Caenorhabditis elegans: one gene and its partners. The protein of the gene in region 2 purifies or fractionates together with the protein of the main gene of each other region. This does not show direct contact. Each region holds a gene or a part of one and is shown on either strand. Other genes may lie near its edges.

What was found.
Region 1: the proteins of cht-1 (region 2) and tsp-11 fractionate together in Caenorhabditis elegans (co-fractionation; one large-scale study listed by BioGRID). This does not show direct contact.
Region 3: the proteins of cht-1 (region 2) and pept-1 fractionate together in Caenorhabditis elegans (co-fractionation; one large-scale study listed by BioGRID). This does not show direct contact.

What each region holds. Positions count from the first base shown.
Region 1 is NC_003284.9:9,161,342-9,167,002, reverse strand, and holds tsp-11 (Tetraspanin), read right to left. Parts: upstream 3,840-5,661; coding exon 3,750-3,839; intron 3,060-3,749; coding exon 2,934-3,059; intron 2,888-2,933; coding exon 2,762-2,887; intron 2,586-2,761; coding exon 2,511-2,585; intron 2,426-2,510; coding exon 2,294-2,425; intron 1,911-2,293; coding exon 1,752-1,910; intron 1,507-1,751; coding exon 1,414-1,506; intron 1,364-1,413; coding exon 1,301-1,363; 3' UTR 1,282-1,300; intron 1,235-1,281; coding exon of another isoform or gene 1,151-1,234; intron 1,103-1,150; coding exon of another isoform or gene 1,034-1,102; 3' UTR 560-1,033; downstream 1-559. Other genes in the region: B0563.10 (Neuropeptide-Like Protein), read left to right, coding at 1-97.
Region 2 is NC_003284.9:3,397,093-3,402,001, forward strand, and holds cht-1 (putative endochitinase), read right to left. Parts: upstream 2,926-4,909; 5' UTR 2,925-2,925; coding exon 2,843-2,924; intron 2,670-2,842; coding exon 2,555-2,669; intron 2,420-2,554; coding exon 1,107-2,419; intron 1,051-1,106; coding exon 707-1,050; 3' UTR 521-706; downstream 1-520. Other genes in the region: slcf-2 (Major facilitator superfamily (MFS) profile domain-containing protein), read left to right, coding at 1-125, 179-376.
Region 3 is NC_003284.9:6,455,020-6,462,336, reverse strand, and holds pept-1 (Peptide transporter family 1), read right to left. Parts: upstream 5,466-7,317; 5' UTR 5,305-5,465; coding exon 5,262-5,304; intron 4,634-5,261; coding exon 4,478-4,633; intron 4,052-4,477; coding exon 3,910-4,051; intron 3,867-3,909; coding exon 3,777-3,866; intron 3,564-3,776; coding exon 3,373-3,563; intron 3,326-3,372; coding exon 3,248-3,325; intron 3,201-3,247; coding exon 3,118-3,200; intron 3,060-3,117; coding exon 2,804-3,059; intron 2,555-2,803; coding exon 2,410-2,554; intron 2,356-2,409; coding exon 2,274-2,355; intron 2,229-2,273; coding exon 2,106-2,228; intron 1,925-2,105; coding exon 1,659-1,924; intron 1,608-1,658; coding exon 1,088-1,607; intron 1,029-1,087; coding exon 696-1,028; 3' UTR 570-695; downstream 1-569. Other genes in the region: K04E7.1 (Serpentine Receptor, class BC (Class B-like)), read right to left, coding at 194-308; Zinc metalloproteinase nas-33, read left to right, coding at 7,203-7,284. UniProt on the Caenorhabditis elegans protein: Low-affinity peptide transporter that is necessary for proton-dependent uptake of di- or tripeptides, and to a minor extent tetrapeptides, in the intestine. Transport is independent of sodium and chloride ions.

The DNA of each region.
Region 1 (5,661 bases), 5.8 Mb from region 2:
ATTTTTCGGGAATTCACAATCCGATAGCAAAGGAAATTATTGGCATGGTGATGATAATGCCAAACTTCTATTGATAGCAAGATCCTCTTGGCCATGAATGTTGCTTTTCGTGTTGTAATTTATTCTTTTAAGTCGATGAAATTAGTTTACAAATATATTCAATGAAATTAGTTTTACAATTTAAAAGTAATGACAACAAATTTTATTGAAATGATTAGAATAATTTCTTACACAAATAAAATAGTTGAAAAGGTTGTTTGCTTGTTTCAAGAATGCGTACGTGGAAAAATGATTAAACACAATTCCTATAGTGCTGAAATTACCAAACCAAATGGCAAATTATAATTAGCCCTTTTAGCATTACAGAAATGGTTTTAAATTAATTTTCCACTTGCCGTGTTCCACATTTAAGTCAACAAGCGGTGTGGTCAATTTCTCTTCGTGAACAAAACCTTACACCCTCCTTTCTGAACCTTGTGGCTCACTTTAACTTATGATCTCCAGGGTAACATATATTGTATGTTCAAGAAAGAGGAAACAGAAACGTTGTTCAAGAAATTTTATCCAAAGCTTTACAGATTTATTTGAAGTTGATCAGATTTTTGAAAATATGACATCGCTCAGAAACCAAAAATTTCAAGATAAAAGTTTTATCTTTTGAATAACTGCGGTTTTGCTTTATAATACAAAATAAAAACATCTAAACATTTGTCTATGTAAAATTACAATTTTGTCACAATACAATTATAAGTAGATGCGAACAAAGGGGTGATCTTTGCCAAGTACGGTAATGATAGTGGCGTAGGTGGCAATAAAACAGATCTTGAAAATGAAAAAGCAGGTGGTGATGGAAAAAAGACTGACAGTCACGCTTTCCATCATCTTGACTGGCTTTACTGAAAGACGAAACCCGGTGTAGAATGTTGATTTGGTAGGAGAATTTAAGGGGAAGTGGGGGTTGAATTAGAAATGGAGGTAAAAAGTAAAACGCAATTGGAAATTGAAAATGTGTTTTTATTGGTGAGTTAAACCTTTAGAAATAATAGAGCATTTCAATTCGAATGTGACGAAACAATTGAACACCAACAATGAATAGAACAATCTGAAAACATTTAAAAAGTGGCATTAAAAAAAACTACAAGAAACTCACATCGAAAATTGTCAAGACGACAAGAATCGAGAATATGGCTGAGAAGTGTATCTGGGATTCACGATAAAGTGGCGTTATACAACCCTGAAAACAAAAATCTCAAAAAACAAGGTATATTCCCAGTGGGTTACGGTAGGCGGTGTAGCCAAATCAGAATTCGTCTTCGGAAGTAATTGAGTCGCATAACCAGAAGCCAACAACAATACCAACCACCTGAAACATGCTTAAGCCTTCATAACATCAAAACCAGGCATAATGCATACTTGAATCAAAGCGAACAATACAACAGTCCAGGAAACAATCTTGAAATGAGATGTCACTTCTTCAAATGATTCCGCAATTTTTGCGTAGCATCCCTGATAAATTGATCGAAATTACTACATCTATAACATCAATATACAAAGTATTTGATATCACGCGTTAAGAATATAATTATAGGTTAACTTCAGCCGACATTCAATACAAGTAATGTTTGTTACGTTACGTGACAATACGTGCAGACGTACATATTTATGTATAAGCCTTTGATTTCACATGGGACCAAATCGTATAGTAAAGACAAACAAAAAATCCTAGAAAAATAAAAAACATGCTAACTCACATGGGAATGTCTCATGATTGTGTTACAGTATGGTCTTAATCTTCCATGTTCATCAGGTGGGCAACATGCTGGTGGAAATTGGTAGCGTCCATGGTTCAGCTGATACCATCCGGAATTGTTGAACTCTCCAATTTTGGAGTCTACTCCGCAACACGATTTCTGGAAATAAAAACTTAAAGTTTCTCCAGACCGAAAGGTAAAACATCCAAAGTACAGTAGTTATGAGCATTTTATACAAGTATCTTTTAACCTAACTTCTCACAAAATAATTATTACGGTATGGTTTAAAAAAAAACGGTATCCGTAAGTAAATCTCAGAATGAGCCGAGAAGCAAAATACTGAGAATTACATAAAAACAAAACTTGCATTTATATCAATTTGATGAGTGCTACAAATTATCAAAGAACCATTGAAAAAAATATTATTCAAACCTTCAAAGTCAGTGAGTAGATCTGTTGAAAACTATCGCAAGATTAGTGAGAATTGTGAAAATTTAAAAAAAAAGTAGTTTATAGTTACTGTCACCACTTCTTTACCATACCTCAATCATAATTTTGTCCCATGCTGTTTTTACCAACAAACCATCTTGAGGATTGTTGCTGACTTTCATGTTATCCGTTCCATTGTACATTTTTAACGACGAATGAAGAATGTCTCGAAAGTCGTTTTCAAACTGCAAAAAAAAACAACGATAACGTTTTATAAAATTCTGGATTGAAAACAAGAAAATTCTTGTTTTTTTTGTTGCGTTGACTCACCATGTGACTGTGAAGGAAAGCGTATATTGTTGCAGCAATTTGTATTGCAAGTATTAACATTAAACAGGATGAGTACTGAAAATACATTTTTCAAAAACGCCAAATAGTTTTTGTGAGCCTAGTGTTTCTGTATTGGTACATGTTTATATACCTGCCCCAAAAACACTTTCCAATACTTTTCAATTAGTTTTGTTTAAACATGTTAGTTTAATTGTAACGTGAAAATGATATGTATCTGTCAGATAACTTACGCAACATAAAAGTGGTCTCCATTCCTTAGCAGCACCACAACACCCCAAAAATGCCACTACAATGACAATAAATCCACCAACGAATAACAAATATCCAAACTGGCGGACTGCTGTTGGTTTTGTTGCCTGAAAATGGTATGGTTTAATACTCCCAACTGTATAAAGTGGTAACCAAGTCTCTTAATCCAGCATCTTGATCGTATCCTTGAACTTTTGCGGTGGCGAATGCAAGATTGTCAATTGCATATTTGTCGAGAACTAGCCATAATCCAATTCCAAGACATATCAAGCCACAAAGCTGAAATAATTCTTACTTAGTTATAGTCTTAGTTAGTTACTTAGCTAGTTATAAATTAAGTATAGTTGTCTGATGTTCATACGATGTTTGAATTTGTTTGGTGTTTCAAAATCCAGTTTTCATACGCTGGTTTTATTCTGGGCCAACTAGATTAAAAAACAGTTTGTCATGTAACGCTAATGGTAAAAAAATAGTATGTAGAATATTGTTCGAGCAATTTTTTTTATTTTGTTATTTTCAACAAAAAATCATAAAAAGATATGAAAGATTAATATTTTTGTCTTGTATTTTTTAAATAATGAAATGAAGCTCTGTTACTAGACTGAAATTTGATTGATATTTATTAAAGAATATATTCAACATTCTGAAGCTTAGCCTTGTTTGAATCTTTGGTAACCTTAGCGTATTAAATTTGGAACAAATTAAAATAACATTTTCCACGAATGACTTTTTACTTTTTAGGGCTGTACCTTGCGTTTAACTAACAGAACTATCAACATTTAATCGAAACAATTACCACAGTGTTCGTTAAATGCCGCGGTCATAAATTTTAATGCCCGGCAACAGTTGGTGAGCCATTAGGCATTCACACATATTTATGTTGGAAGGCAATGCTCGTCGATTTATCAAACTTCCACCAAACACTGACCAATTGTTTAAGCTTCTTTGAGCACAAACCGCCCCACTTACCAGAAACACCAAATTGAATATGAATAATGAGAATTTGAGCGCTCGCGCCGTACAGCTTAATGGCATTGTGCTTTGATTTCTGAAATTCATTTTTTGAAGCACACAAGCAAAAAGACGAACAGAAAAAAGATGTCAATGACATGTGTTATAGAAAAAAAGTTAAAAAATGAAGAAGTAGGTTGAGAAAAGTAGAACAGGTGTTCAAAGCGGATGAAAGAGCAAAATTTATGACAGAGTTTCTTCTGAGAGAGATGTTCTCAACTGGTGTAATGCGAAATCGTCCAAGAATGAAGAGCTAAGAGCTTGTGAATTTTTGATTTATATAAATTGGTTTTAATTAACTGAAGTACATGTTTGACAAAAAGCGAGTGTCAGATGAGAAGCATGGCAAAATGAACTTTTGTTTCCAACCTTTGTCTTTTGAGTTTAAACATCAGTGGACTTTTTCAAATCCGGGATACATTAAACACAAAGAAAATGTGCTGGTTTCGTGAGAAAAAACTATAAAATTCTTCTAAATTTCAAATAATAAAGCAACACGCTAAAAAAATTTTTTGAACTATTTTTCATGAGTTTATTTGAACTTTTTTTCATGAGATTATTGAATAACAAAAAGTTTCTACACCAACTAAAACGTGCAACCAAATAAACAGGAAGTTGACAAACTATCCTCTCACTTTTATGAATAACTTTTTATATATTCCGTTTAATTAATTTATTATAATCTAAAAAATTTTTGAAAAATCAAACCAAATCGAACAAAACTCCGAAAAATCGAAACTGGAACTCAGAAAATAAAAAAAAATAGGTTCAATTTTTTTGCGGTTAGATCCTTATAGTTAGCAATTAAGCCGTATTTTTAGAAAATCGCAAAACTGAAAAAATTAAGAAAAATAATTTGCTTAAAAAACGACGTTCAACTTCTTCTCTGACTATGCTTATTATTTTTGGAAACTGTTTATTTTTGGGAAGTTGAACTGTGGGAACATTTTCGCTAAATACATTTTATTAAAAAGATTTATGACAATATAGTATGTACTTTTATCATACTTTAATCTAAAAATATTCTGATTTTGAAAGAACACCATATCTTCTGAAGTAAAGACCAACATTAAACTAAAACATCGTTCATGATGACGTGGAAGTGATGCTCTCAAAAAGGCACTGAGCAAATGAAATAGAAAACGGTGGTCCGGTAAACGCCGCCAGGTAAGGAAGGTGTTGGGTTTCACACTGATCTACATTTATGGGGCATGTAAATGTGAGAACTGAAATAAGAGAGCAAAAGTTCCGCGAACGGATGAACTGGAATACGACGGATAGGGGATGGAGAAGTGCGAAGATTTCCAACCGCACAATTACTATTATGAGCATTCGAAAAACTTCTAAATTACTTAATCTTCAAAAAAAATCCAAGTGAAACCTGATTTCGATTATAAATATTTGCTCTGAAGTTATACTTATTACAAAATCTGATGCACTTTGGAACATAGGAATAACTAAATTGAAAATTATGGGCCGCACATGGAAGGCACAATTCAATCAAATCTAGCAACAAGGAAGGATAAGAAAAGAAGGAGGAGCACCCAACCATTCCCCACACGATACCACCACATTTCTCCACACAACTATGCGAAACGGATAACTGAGGGCGCAGAGGATGTGGGTTCGGAATTAGTGGTCTTCTCCCCCTTCTATCTCACTTACTTGCTCCGGATGAGAGAGACAGTGTGCACAAGGATGAGATGTACTGCGAAATCATCGCCGAGTCAGAGAGTAACAACAGTTGTCAACTCGTTCATGCCACTGCTGGCAGAAAAGTGAAAGAATTGGGAGGGGTATGGGAAACAAGCTGAGAAAGAGATAAAGAAGAAGACATCAAAGATTTTGATCATTTACTAGATATTCTTGA
Region 2 (4,909 bases):
GCCTACTAACTGCTTTGAACACTCATGGAATATCAAATGTACTAATACCATTTGTAGCAATGAACACAGTTTATGTAGGTGTTACTTACAAATGGCTTCCCGAAACTGCAGGAAAAACTCCACAGGTAACAAATAATAATTAGAACATTTATATTTTAAATACCTATTTTAATTTCAGGAAATCAATCGTCACTTCTCACCAGAGTTTCCTGGAACAAATGTATTCTTATACTTAAAACACAAAGCCTCGAAAACGTTCGCATATCTCAGTGGAAAACCGGCGCTGATGAACTTTATCAGTTTTGTGGTGCAGTTGGCGTGCTGCATATTTCTTCTCGATTTTGGAGTGAACATTTACAAAAACATTGGAAAGTGAACTGGGTCTCTCTTTTCAAAATTGATACCAGTTGGCAATCGTCGAAACAAGTTGGTCTCTCAAGAAAAATGGGTTCTTATGCATGTAGTTATAAATTAGGGGTCGCTTTGTTTGTAGATTGTCCATGAAATAAAAAAGTGTTTTGTTATATACGTTTATTGATACAATAAATACGTTTTAAAGTTGAATATACATTAAATGAATAACATAAATTGTTTACTTTTTGAGTTGCTACAAGCAACAAATGACAGGTGGCCCGTGGGAATAACGAAGTTATAGGAAATAAGGAATGCAAGAATGAAATTAAACAGATGTTGGAAATTAATACACTTATTTTGCACATTTTGATGGATCTGGACGATCACACATCATTGTGTCAGCGTGGAAGCTCAAACCGTTGGGGCACTCAAAGTTGTATGAAATACCATTCACACAGCGGATAAACTTGAGGCAATCACTCGGAACTCCGAAGAATCCATCCTTGGTACACTTGAAAGCCGGTGTAGTGGTTGTTGGTGCTCTTGTAGTTGTGGTGACAGTTGGCGCAGATTTTGTTGTCGTAGTTGGAGCTCTAGTAGTGGTCACAGAACATCCAGAAGCAGTGGAAGTGGTACAGTATTTCAGGGAAGCAGAGTATTGAAGTCCTGATGGGCACGACATGCTGTATGATTTTGCTGAAATTGAAAATTGTTCATAAACATTCTAAATAATATAATTTTTAAAAACTTACAGCTCAGACAAAGAACGAAAAGTCCGCAGTTGTTGCTGTTTGGATAAAATCCATCCGATTTTCCAGAACAGACATTTGTATTGGAAGCTGTGGTTGTAGTAGCTGCACGTGTTGTAGTTGTGGTAGCGGCAGTAGTTGTGGTTACTGCTGAAGTCATTGGAGGGCGTCCAGTTGTGACCGTAGTTGCTACAGTGGTTGGAGCAGTTGTGACGCCACCTTTCTTTGGAATGATAACTCCTCCAAGCTCCTTAGCAATGACACTGATGAGTGGGTAAAGCTGACCATTAGAGTTGCTGCATCCAGCATTGAAATCGTCAAAATCAAGAGTCCATACAAAAGCTCCTCCGTAACCTTCTCTCTTAACGTATGCCATCTTGTTGGCAAACGACTCTTCATCATCGTACGACCACCATTGATTTCCTTGTACGAGATATGGAACTTGAGACTGGCTATCCCAATATCTGGTGGCTCCATTGGCGAGCATCTCGCAGAACTCGAAGTAGGCTCCAACTCCGGCTTCTTGAACATATTGAGTGATCTTAGCTGGGGATCCGCTTGTTCCTGGATTAATTGCACTGGCATTGTTCAAAGTCCATCCTCGTCCATATGTTGGCATTCCGACGATGATCTTCTCTTTTGGCATACCCTTCTGGTTCCAGTATCTAGCAGATGAATCAACGTTCCATCCATTCCATTCAGCTGGGAGCTCGGTCGTAGCATAGAGTGGAGAGTTGAATCCAACAAGAGAAGCCCATGCTCCGAAGAAATCGTAACTCATGAGAAGAATAAAGTCAAAGTTCGGTGCCAAGTTTGGAATATCATACCCAGCATCGATTGTGGCTGGTCCTGCGGCGACAGCGGCGGTTACAAGAAGACGATCCTTTCCAGTGCTTCCGGCTTCCGACTCACAAGCAGCCTTCAACTCCTTCACGAGGGCAACGTAGTTAGCCATGTCAGTTGCTCCAGAAGGGTACTCCCAGTCGATATCAATACCATCGAATCCCCAAGTGCGAACGAAAGTGATAGCAGAGTCGATAAAAACTTTTCTAGACGCAGAACTGGCAGCCATTCCTTGGAAAAGTGCAGTTCCAAAACTCCATCCTCCGAACGAGAGAAGGGTCTTGAGTTGGGTGTCAGTGACTTTCAGCTTGTTAACTCTTCTGTACATTCCTTCTCCAGCCCAATCATTTGGCAAGTCTGCTGGATCATATGCTCGAACGGTGTAGTCAGCGTTCATCCATCCGAATGCAAAGAGAATATGCGTGCAGAGTCCTGGAGTGTAATCCTCTGGCACAAACTTGGCTCGTCCTTGTCTGAAAAAATAATTGAAAAAAAAACTAACTTGCAGACCAGAAAACCAGAACTTTTTCCCACTATTCATTCCTCACTGCATACTATCATCTTTCGATTATCGTCCCCCTATTCACAAATACGATTAAATTTCAAACCTGTATTGAGCCCAGTTGGTGAAGTAGCACGGTCTGATGTAGCTATTGGTTGGCTCGGATCTCGCCACTGATCGTGAAGTGATTTTGTTTCGTGCAGCGACAACATCCGCCGGATCTGAAGAGAACGTGTGAGAACAGCGGGGTTTTGTTTACGTGCTCTTGAACTATATTGGCAAACACTGAGTGACCATTTGAAAAGTCAATACTAGACTTTTTGTGTCAGTCTGTATCAGAAATTCAATGGTTTCAGCTGAACAGTCATTAGAAAAAATTGCCGAGATAACTTACGGTTTCTAATTGTAGCACCCGTCCATGTGTATGCAATTGGCAATATGAAACTTGCCACGAGAAGGAATTTGCCTAATAGCATGCTGAAAAAATACAAAAATATATTTATTCAGAAATACGTTCACCAAATTTTCGAATGAGAAGAATGGGTGAAAGGGCTATTGCGGAAAAACAAGCAATTTAAAGGAACAAAAATGACCAAAATGTACATAGGTAGCCGGACTGGTGGCGGTTGTTTGAGCACCTCGGCTCACAATGCACTTCGTACAGTGTGCTCATTTTCCAACGATTATCGCTCAAGGCGAAAAGAAATGAGGATGGGTGAGTGAGGGGGACTCCACTTTCCGCAAAAACCACCGCACAAACAATAAAATTATGACGATTTGAGTCAATCCAAGTATCCAAGAAAAAAACAAATTTGAATAAAACACGTAGACAATAATCAGGCCTGTACCAGGCCAAAAGGTAGAATAATTGAGTTGGTCCGTCAGGCAGCCAACAAAAATGTCTGAATGATTGTGGCTACATAGAATGGTCTCTACATGGGAAGGTGGGCGGAGCACCTTATCTAGGTCAATCTCGGCCCATTAATGCGGCCCAGACCCTTTATGACATCATGAACAATAGCCGAGCAGGATTTGATCTTTGCTCTCTAATAAGAAGGGTGTTAATGAATGAGCAGTCTACCAACATTGATTGAAGAGACAGTCGTAAAGATGGTAATCTTGTTGCTCAGTAAGATTGAAAGATCAGACTACAAAACAGTTGGGAAATACGGTCAGACGAGCACTTTAACATTGATTATTAATATTGCTTTCATGTTTAAATTTTTGAGAGAGAGCTTATATATTATTTCTAAAATAACAAAAGTTTATATTGTTTCACGTACAATGTCTGATAACAGATAAAGTGTTTTCAATACTTAAGAGCGTCCCATGACAAACACCCACACAAGTATGCCGGAAAGTTTAACCGTGTTTAAAACGGAAGTGACGACGAATAGAAAAATATTGTTTAAAGCATGTTAAAAGTGCATTGCTTACAGCACTGTTGTTTTTGGAGCTCTCGATCAACCGAATTTTTTCAAATCAAAATCATGCTTAATATGTACTAACAAAAAACGATCACCTAACATGCACATAAGTTTTAACAGTTTATAAAGGAAAATGTTTTGGAATTAGAAACCTCGAAAAAAATTCGATTCTACGGGCACGAGAATATTGCTGGAATTATTCACTTTTTCGGAAACACAAATTTATGAATATCGCTAGTATACACCAATTTCGACAGTGACGCGGACAACTCGTTTTGAAAGCCCGCCAAAAAAAAAACGAATTTCTTTTATTTTCTATTCTAATTACCTATGCTTTAGATACACATATTTGAACATTAAAGCTGAAGCCTGATGCAATGCTTCAACTTCTCTGGCAATATTCAAAAACTTCTATGTAAGACTGAAAATTTAAAAAAAATCTTCAAAAAAAATTGAGTATTAAATTATGATATTTGGGCATGTGGAACTGTGATAATTAAACAAACTTCTTACTGACAAGAAGCCACCTTTGAACAATTTCAGAATCAGAAAATACAATCTATTTATTAAAAACACTATTTTGTCTCACTTTTATACTGATTAGTCAGATTTCATTTTTCGTTACTTAAATGATGATGACAAATAGAACAGGATTTTGAAATTTTATTAATAACGTGTTTGCTTATCAAATTAATTTCGTTGACTCATCACTATTGCTCAGAAGATATTCCATCGGATCGTATTTAGCTATTTCGTGTTTCAGCTAATATCCACAAATCTTTTTGGCATCGAGAGTACGACTCATCCATTTTCGCATTTTAAAATGCTCCTTTTACTTTTCGCCCTCTGCGGTGGGTCTCGACGAACACAATTTTTCTCGTGGACGACTGAGTCATTTGCACATCCCACAATGGGTGTCCTTTCCTTTCCCTTCTTTCCTTAGTTTTTTGTACTAATTTTATGCGACCACAGCCAGATTTTTGAAAGAAGCGATCAATAATTTTTGTATTCTCATTTTTAATCATGCCGTAAAT
Region 3 (7,317 bases), 3.1 Mb from region 2:
AGGAATTGTGAAATTTAGCTAAACTCGGCCATAATTTTTCGAAATTTTAAAACGCCCTGAAATGTTTTAATTCATCAAATTTAATTGATTAATTAAAATGTTTGAAGACTATTACCGTGATAATAAAACTTGCTACTCTGCCTATAAGTGAAAAAATTAAAATGACAAAAAATTATTTGCCCAAGAGTCAAACCTTTGAGCAATGGAGTGCTGGAGGACGCCATTGCAAATCCGGAAGTGTAAAGTGTGTTAAGTAGAGCCAGAACATTTCCAGATTTGAGAGAAGGTGATGTTAATTCATCCGTCATATTTAGTCGCCCAGTGTGTCGTGAGCAAATCCAAAAAAAAGCAGATAATGAGAGAGCCCCCGGCAACAAGCTATTGTCCGTCCTCCACTAGCTTACAAAGCTTTAGACCGGATATACTCATCCGGTCGTCGCATGCCAACTTTCAAATTTGGCTCCTATTTTTGAGTTCAGAGACTTTTGCAATGGAATAAGAAATGTGTTTGGTCGCAAAACGACAGAATCAAGATGCAGTTCGGCTGTTGTTGTGAGAGTGGACATGAACAAAGTTTTTAGAAATATTTATTTTTTCAAGTGAAAACGAATTTTATCACGATGTCACAATAAGGGAAAGCAACAGTAGTAGGTTTAGGAAAACAAAATTGAAAATTTATACATATTAGGATTTAATTAAAAATGCATATCGAAAGTATCTTTTTCGTCCGGATGGAAACCTTTGTTATCAATTGAATATCGTGGATTGTGATCCTCAATTTCTTCCTCATCATCAACTCCAATTTCACCGTCCTCTTCATCAGTTGTATAATAATTGTAAGTATAATAGAAAATGGAGAGAAGAGCAAAGATGGCAATAACTACAAACATCGCAGCAGCATAGACAAAGAATTCGACGGCCATATTTTCAAATAAGTTAAGGATTGTGATGACTACAATGATGGAATCTCCAGCAGCAGTGGTCAAGAGCCAGAGGGCTTGTACCAGAGCTTTCATTGATGGGGCAGACTGTAATATTTACAGTTAGAATAGCATTATAAATTATAAATTTTAACTATTAACATTACCTGAGAATATGCAAATTCGTATCCGGTAATTGAGAACAAAATTTCTGCTGCCGTGATGACAACGATTTGTGGAATCTGCCAAAGAATCGACACACTATTGGACTGTACAATTTGAAGCTCGTGGATCTTTGGATTTTCGTATGTTCCGGTCAATGCATAGATGAACACACCTCCCTGCTTAACTCTGTGAAAACCGTAATTTGTTGGAGCAACGAGTGTTGCTGTTTTGTTGTAAGTCTGCCGGTCTACATCTTTTGGTGTATTCAAAAGGTAGTACAACTGCCAATATCCTGGCTTTACAGATTTCTGCTTGTAAGTTACAGCCGGTTGGGAACTAAGAGATCCAGTAATTGTAGCGTTTTGATCTCTGTCATCGGTATGACTATTATAATCGGTTTCCCAGAAGTAAAAGTCAGCAGGATGTCTTGGATTACATGGATGGTTAACATCAAAGTCGCTTGTATTTTGACGGCACATGGCAAAGTTTCCTCCGTATGAAGAATTGAATACAGTGACAATTCTGGAATTTATATATTATTTAACCATTGTTCCGTGTTATGAACACCCCTACCCCATAGAGAATTCTCCAGTTCCATCAGTTGGCTTATCAGTGTTAGCTGTGTTTTGGTAATATCCAAATGATCCGACTCCAACGTAGATGATCTTCTTGCTCTTGGCAGTCACTTTAACAGTTTTCTCCAATTTTGATGTATCTCCGCAAGCGCCGTCATAGCTGAGGTCATATGTGAGAGTCCAATCGCCATTACCTTTTGCGGGGGATTTTGTTGTAAAAAGATTATAAATTCCAGACTTGTTCTTTTTATCTTCGTGAAGATACTGAAACGTTGTTGTGTAAATACGTATAGTAATTCATGACAAAGGCAATAAATTAAATAATTTTACGATAACTTTTTCTGACTTCCTTTTTTCTTATCAGCACTTAAAATGGCATGATCTTTCGTTTAGAACTTAGGAGGAGAAAGTTAAAAGTGAAAAGAATCAAATTCGAATCTCAAACCTTGTCATGGGGAAGAACTCTCTTGTGAATTCCAGACATAACGGTAATGGTGCAATCAGTTTCAAACTGGTTCCAGAAACTAATTGATGCTTCTCCTTCTTCCGGGAGAGTTGGAAGAGTAGTCTGTAAAGAATTAATAAATTATGGAACAATTTTATTTGAAATTACATTGACTTGAAGTTGAACAAATCCAGTGATCAAAAAGGCAAGTGACGCGAGAAGCCCTCCAGTGACCATTTTTCTCAAAGGTCTAAAATATAATAATTCATTATACACAAATAATTTTATTTCAATGAAAACTCACGTAAGTCGGACACACTTGGCAGCGACTGGGTAGATGATGACCTGAAAGAGTGGGATAAAGAGAAGAATAAGCACGGCGTTCAATGTCTGCATTTGATCCGGAAGAAGGAGAAGGGTGTCAGAAAGACGACAATCCATTTGAATAGCTGAAAAAACACATTTTTAACATGTGAAGAGCGGGGATGTCTCAGTCGGTAGTGGTGGTCGCTAGCAATCACAAAATTGCACTCCTAGGTTCACTAAGCCAACGCTGGGAATTAGATTAATCAACGGCTGACTTAGCCCCCCGGCTTGATTGTAGCTTAAGCTAAAACCCAGTGGGTGCACCACAAGGAATTCTGCAGCTGACTCCCCAATTTGATCATTTTTAAATTGTTATCTAGAACTTTACAAACCTTGAATGAGCCAGACAGATCCTTGCTGATCGTAAAGTGCCCAGAACATTGGTACTGGCAAGAACATGACAAGAACACGGAGTAGGGAACGGACATCATCGATGAATTTTTTCTTTTGGCACAGATTCTTGTTTCTTTTCTCAGCTTGGAGTTCGAGGCATTTTGCATCAAGAGCACAGTCGTGAGTAGTAAGGTAGTGAAGGAGCCAGTGTTCCTTTGGTGTGGATCCTGACTTCATTTTGTTTCCAACAGCTCTCTGAATATTTAATCTTGGTTTCAAAGCAGTTTAGAAATAAAACAAAACAAAAACTTACAAACATAAGACGAGATACTTCTCCGAACACGTTGTCCTTTGGTGGGTTCTTCTTGTACCAAAATGAACCTCCCATAAATACCACTGTAAGAGTTTAATAGTCAATGTGATTTTTGAATATTTTATCTCACGTGTTGCAACAATCATAAGAATAGCCGGAATACCAAAAGCCATTGGGTAGCAGGAATCTTGTCCAAGGCATGGTTGAGCTGAAATTATTGTACTCTAATAGTGTTTTAAGAATTGTCAAGTTTACATCTGAAGATGGGAGAGATGAAAGTAGAGATCATAGATCCTGCGTTGATGGAAAAGTAGAACATGGAAAAGAAGAGTGAGAGCATTCTTTCTTGTCCTAACTCGAATTGATCTCCTCCGAATGCAGACACACATGGCTTGATTCCTCCGGTACCGAACGCAATGATCAGTAATCCAGACAGATCCATCCATCTGAAAATTCAGCAGTTTATTTCTTGTGAACCCTTTTTAATTTTGTTCGGTTTCAGTTTTTTAATGTTTAATGTGGCGCGTGCACTGTCGGGCAAAAGTTGCCACGGTTGAAGTTCTTATCATCATGCCTTGTTTCAATCGAGAGGAATTCGTAAAGACGGAAAAGTTGCATGATAAGTTTATGCGTCGAATACTGGAACAAGCATCACTTACGGGTGAACTGAAGATTGAAAATTCTTAGTAGAAGCGAGAGCGAGCACGACTTGTCCGATTGCGTATAGAATTGAGACAGAGAAGATTGTCCTGAAAAGTCGTTATTGAGTGCAAAACAACAATTATTACATACCAGAATTTTCCAATGTATCCGTCCGCAACAATTGATCCGAGAAGTGGTGTGGTATAGCAAAGCACAGTAAATCCATTGAAGAAGATCGTAGATTGTGAGTCGGTGAACTTTAGTACGTTAAGCAGGTAGAATGTCAAGACCGCTGCAAATTTTTCGTGTCACGTTTCAATTGATCTTCTGTACTGCCAACGTCATAATCATTATGGTAATAACCGGATTATGACCTTTTAGTGATATCGGTGAAAAAATGTCTTATTTGCATTTCATGTGTCAAAACTTTCGATTTTTAAATATACTGGCATGTAGATAGGAAATTCACTTTTTGAGTACCATGTACTTAAAGTAAATGTTGATAATACCCTTATCTGAAAATGTCCACCCACCGGCCGAAAATCAAAATAAGGTTTAACTCTACTTTTTCTTCACCTTACCTCTTAAACTAAACTAAAAATATATGTACAAATAAAAATATTTTTTGTAGATTATTGATACATCAGAAATGTTTAAGGCTGTTTAAAGGATCTATTATATCCTTTACACTTTTACCCTAACAAATAAAGCAACTCACTTCTCATTCCATAGTATGAGAATCGTTCGCAGAATTCGTTGGACACGATGCACAGTGTTGTTTTAGGCCAATGCCTGATCATATCAGGCCATGTTGTGTAGATTTTCTTTTCCGGTAGTGGTACTGTTTCGAGTTCATGGCCGTATGATGTTTTGCCTGAAAAACTCGTTCTGTCGATTTTCGATCAAAAACTCTGAAATTTACTCTTGTCGCCTTTTTTTTTGATAGATAAAATTTCCCACGCGGCAAGATTAGTTATAATCCATCTAATTTTAGATAAATGCCATTATCACTAGTTTTAGCGGCTGTTAAGAAGAATTGTATTTTACAAAACAATAAAACAATCTGGAAATGATGTTTCGGTATGCTGGAGGTAAGTTATTTTGTTCCGTACAGTGTGTTGCAAAATCTGCATTAATATTAGATTTATTAGTTGAGGGTTCTTGTTACTCATAAGTAATACAAAATTATTGGATTACAGTTTTCAACAGGAGCCCAGTTGTTAATGGTAGTCGCTAGCAACTAGGGGTCACGAGTATAAAACGTGAGGGGTACCCCAGCCTTAACTGGAAAGTGGATCTTTAAAATCTGCGACTGGATGATTGACCACATGCGAATCATATTTCGAGAGAAATACAATTGAACAAACTATTAAAACATTCAAATACTGTGTAATGTTACAATATCTTAAAAATTAAACTACATGGGTGGTATAATATTCAGGCTTAACCGTCTTAATAAATGTATTATGCTTTATTGAACTTTTATATGATGAATCAGTTACCTTTCGAGCTAACGCTCTCCGAGCGACTCTCCGAGTAGCCCATAGTGGCGATACTGACGAGGAATGAGCCTGTCGCGGTATTTGAGGCAAGAAATGAAGAAGAAGGAGGAGTATGGAGGTGGGCAATAGGTGCGTTGGCTCGATGACTGTGTCCTCACCAATTTCTTGCTGCGTCTCTTTATCAAGTTGAACCGCACTGTTCTTAATAGTGCTTCTCCTACTCGCTTAAATATTTCACTCATAAATTTTATCATTTCCACTTTCTTTTTCCACCACCTCTTGTAAGCGTTTTCGTACATTACATGCTCCACTAATCGGATAGCGCAGAAGGCGAGCAAAGGAATGAGAGTACGTGTCACTGTTGGAGACCAAGTTTTGATGCGGGTTGTCTGTAATTCAATGTTATCACCTATTAAGATGTACTGTTTCTGAAGAGAAAAAGAAAAATTGAGTGGAGGGTAAAGAGAAAAGCATGACAAGAAAGGCACAAAGTTGAAAAGGGTGTAAAATGGTGATATGAGCCGACTGAATATCATGTCGGCGTGATTTATGATGAAAAATGATTTAGGGGAAGGTTATTCTGTTTTCTTGTTCAAAATCTTTAAAATCTTACAACACCATTCAAAAAATTGAATTGTTAATTATAACACACAGTAAACATAACGAGACGCTGAAAATACATATGAAAACGGGTTAATGAGTGTTTTTAAAACAAGGCACCATAAATGGTGAGTAGCGAATGTAGTTAAAATGTATGGAACCACTTCTATAATGTTAAATAAATAAATTTTGAAGTATTTTCATTTGCAGCCAAAAAGTTGTGATTAATCAGCTTTGCTCACATAAAATTGGTAGTCGATTTGAAAAATAATAGAAATTTAAAAAAATAATATTCTAATTAAATCTTATACACTTGTACTGGAACATTGTACAGCGACACTACTCTTAATTTATCAAGGAGCCTAAACTATGTATAAACTTGATAACATACGTTTAATGATTTTTTTTTCAAAAAAAACTTTGAAAATTTAGACTGTTTTATGATGATCTGGATTGCAATAAAAATTTTCGGACAAAATTTCCACTGACGACAATAATCCATATGTAATGTTTGGTGTCAATTAATGAAATATTTTCAAGTAATACGTGTTTACCTTTCAAGGAATTTGCTATATTTCCTAAGAATTTTTTTAATTTTAACAAAAAATTGCGTTTCAGTTTTATGAAAAGGCGTTTGCAAGCAATTGCAATGTGTAGATGTGTAGATACAATGTGTAGATAGGCAAAGTGTAGAATTGACAAAAGCTACAGTAATAATAATACGTTGATTATTAACACAGTACCCATATCCAGATTTTCCACCCTTTTTTGTAGTCTATCATTAAAACGTTAGAAGTCTATTTCTACAATACACATGCAAAACTTGAATGCTATAAACTTAGTACGTGAGTCTAGACCATCATTTTTCTGGGAACCCTGATTAAGAACACAAGAAAAAATAGTTGAAGTTCAGCGAAACATAATTTGGATCAATTCGGCGACTTTGTCTGATTCATCCCCAGATTTCTGTCTTGATCTTCTGCATGGTATGATCTTGAAAATTGCCATTTGCTGAGTTTTTATAATATTTCAAAGTAACATCCACTGATAGTCAAATGTTTGTGTTCACCAATCATCTTGCCATCAAAAAAAAACTTTTTGAGGCCACGCGTAATTTCATCTTCTTTTCACTCTCAAAGATTCCCCCAATTAAAACTTCTACGACCTTTATATTTGATTGGCCGAATGAGACAAAACGATGCAAACACCTTACAGGTCTTCCCGCGTACCAAATTTGTGTTGTTATTACCGATTAAACCCTGAACTAGTTCATGCTGTAAATTTTTTTACTTGGTCTTTCATTTTGATTAAACTTGGCATATACTTGCCGCCGAGAGCAAAATGTTATTTGTAAGCATACTGATATCACAGTTTGTTACTTGTCTGACGCAACCTGATTTTTTTGAACGGCCTCCTCCTCCAGGTAAGAATTCCTTGAAAAATTATCGCCATCAGC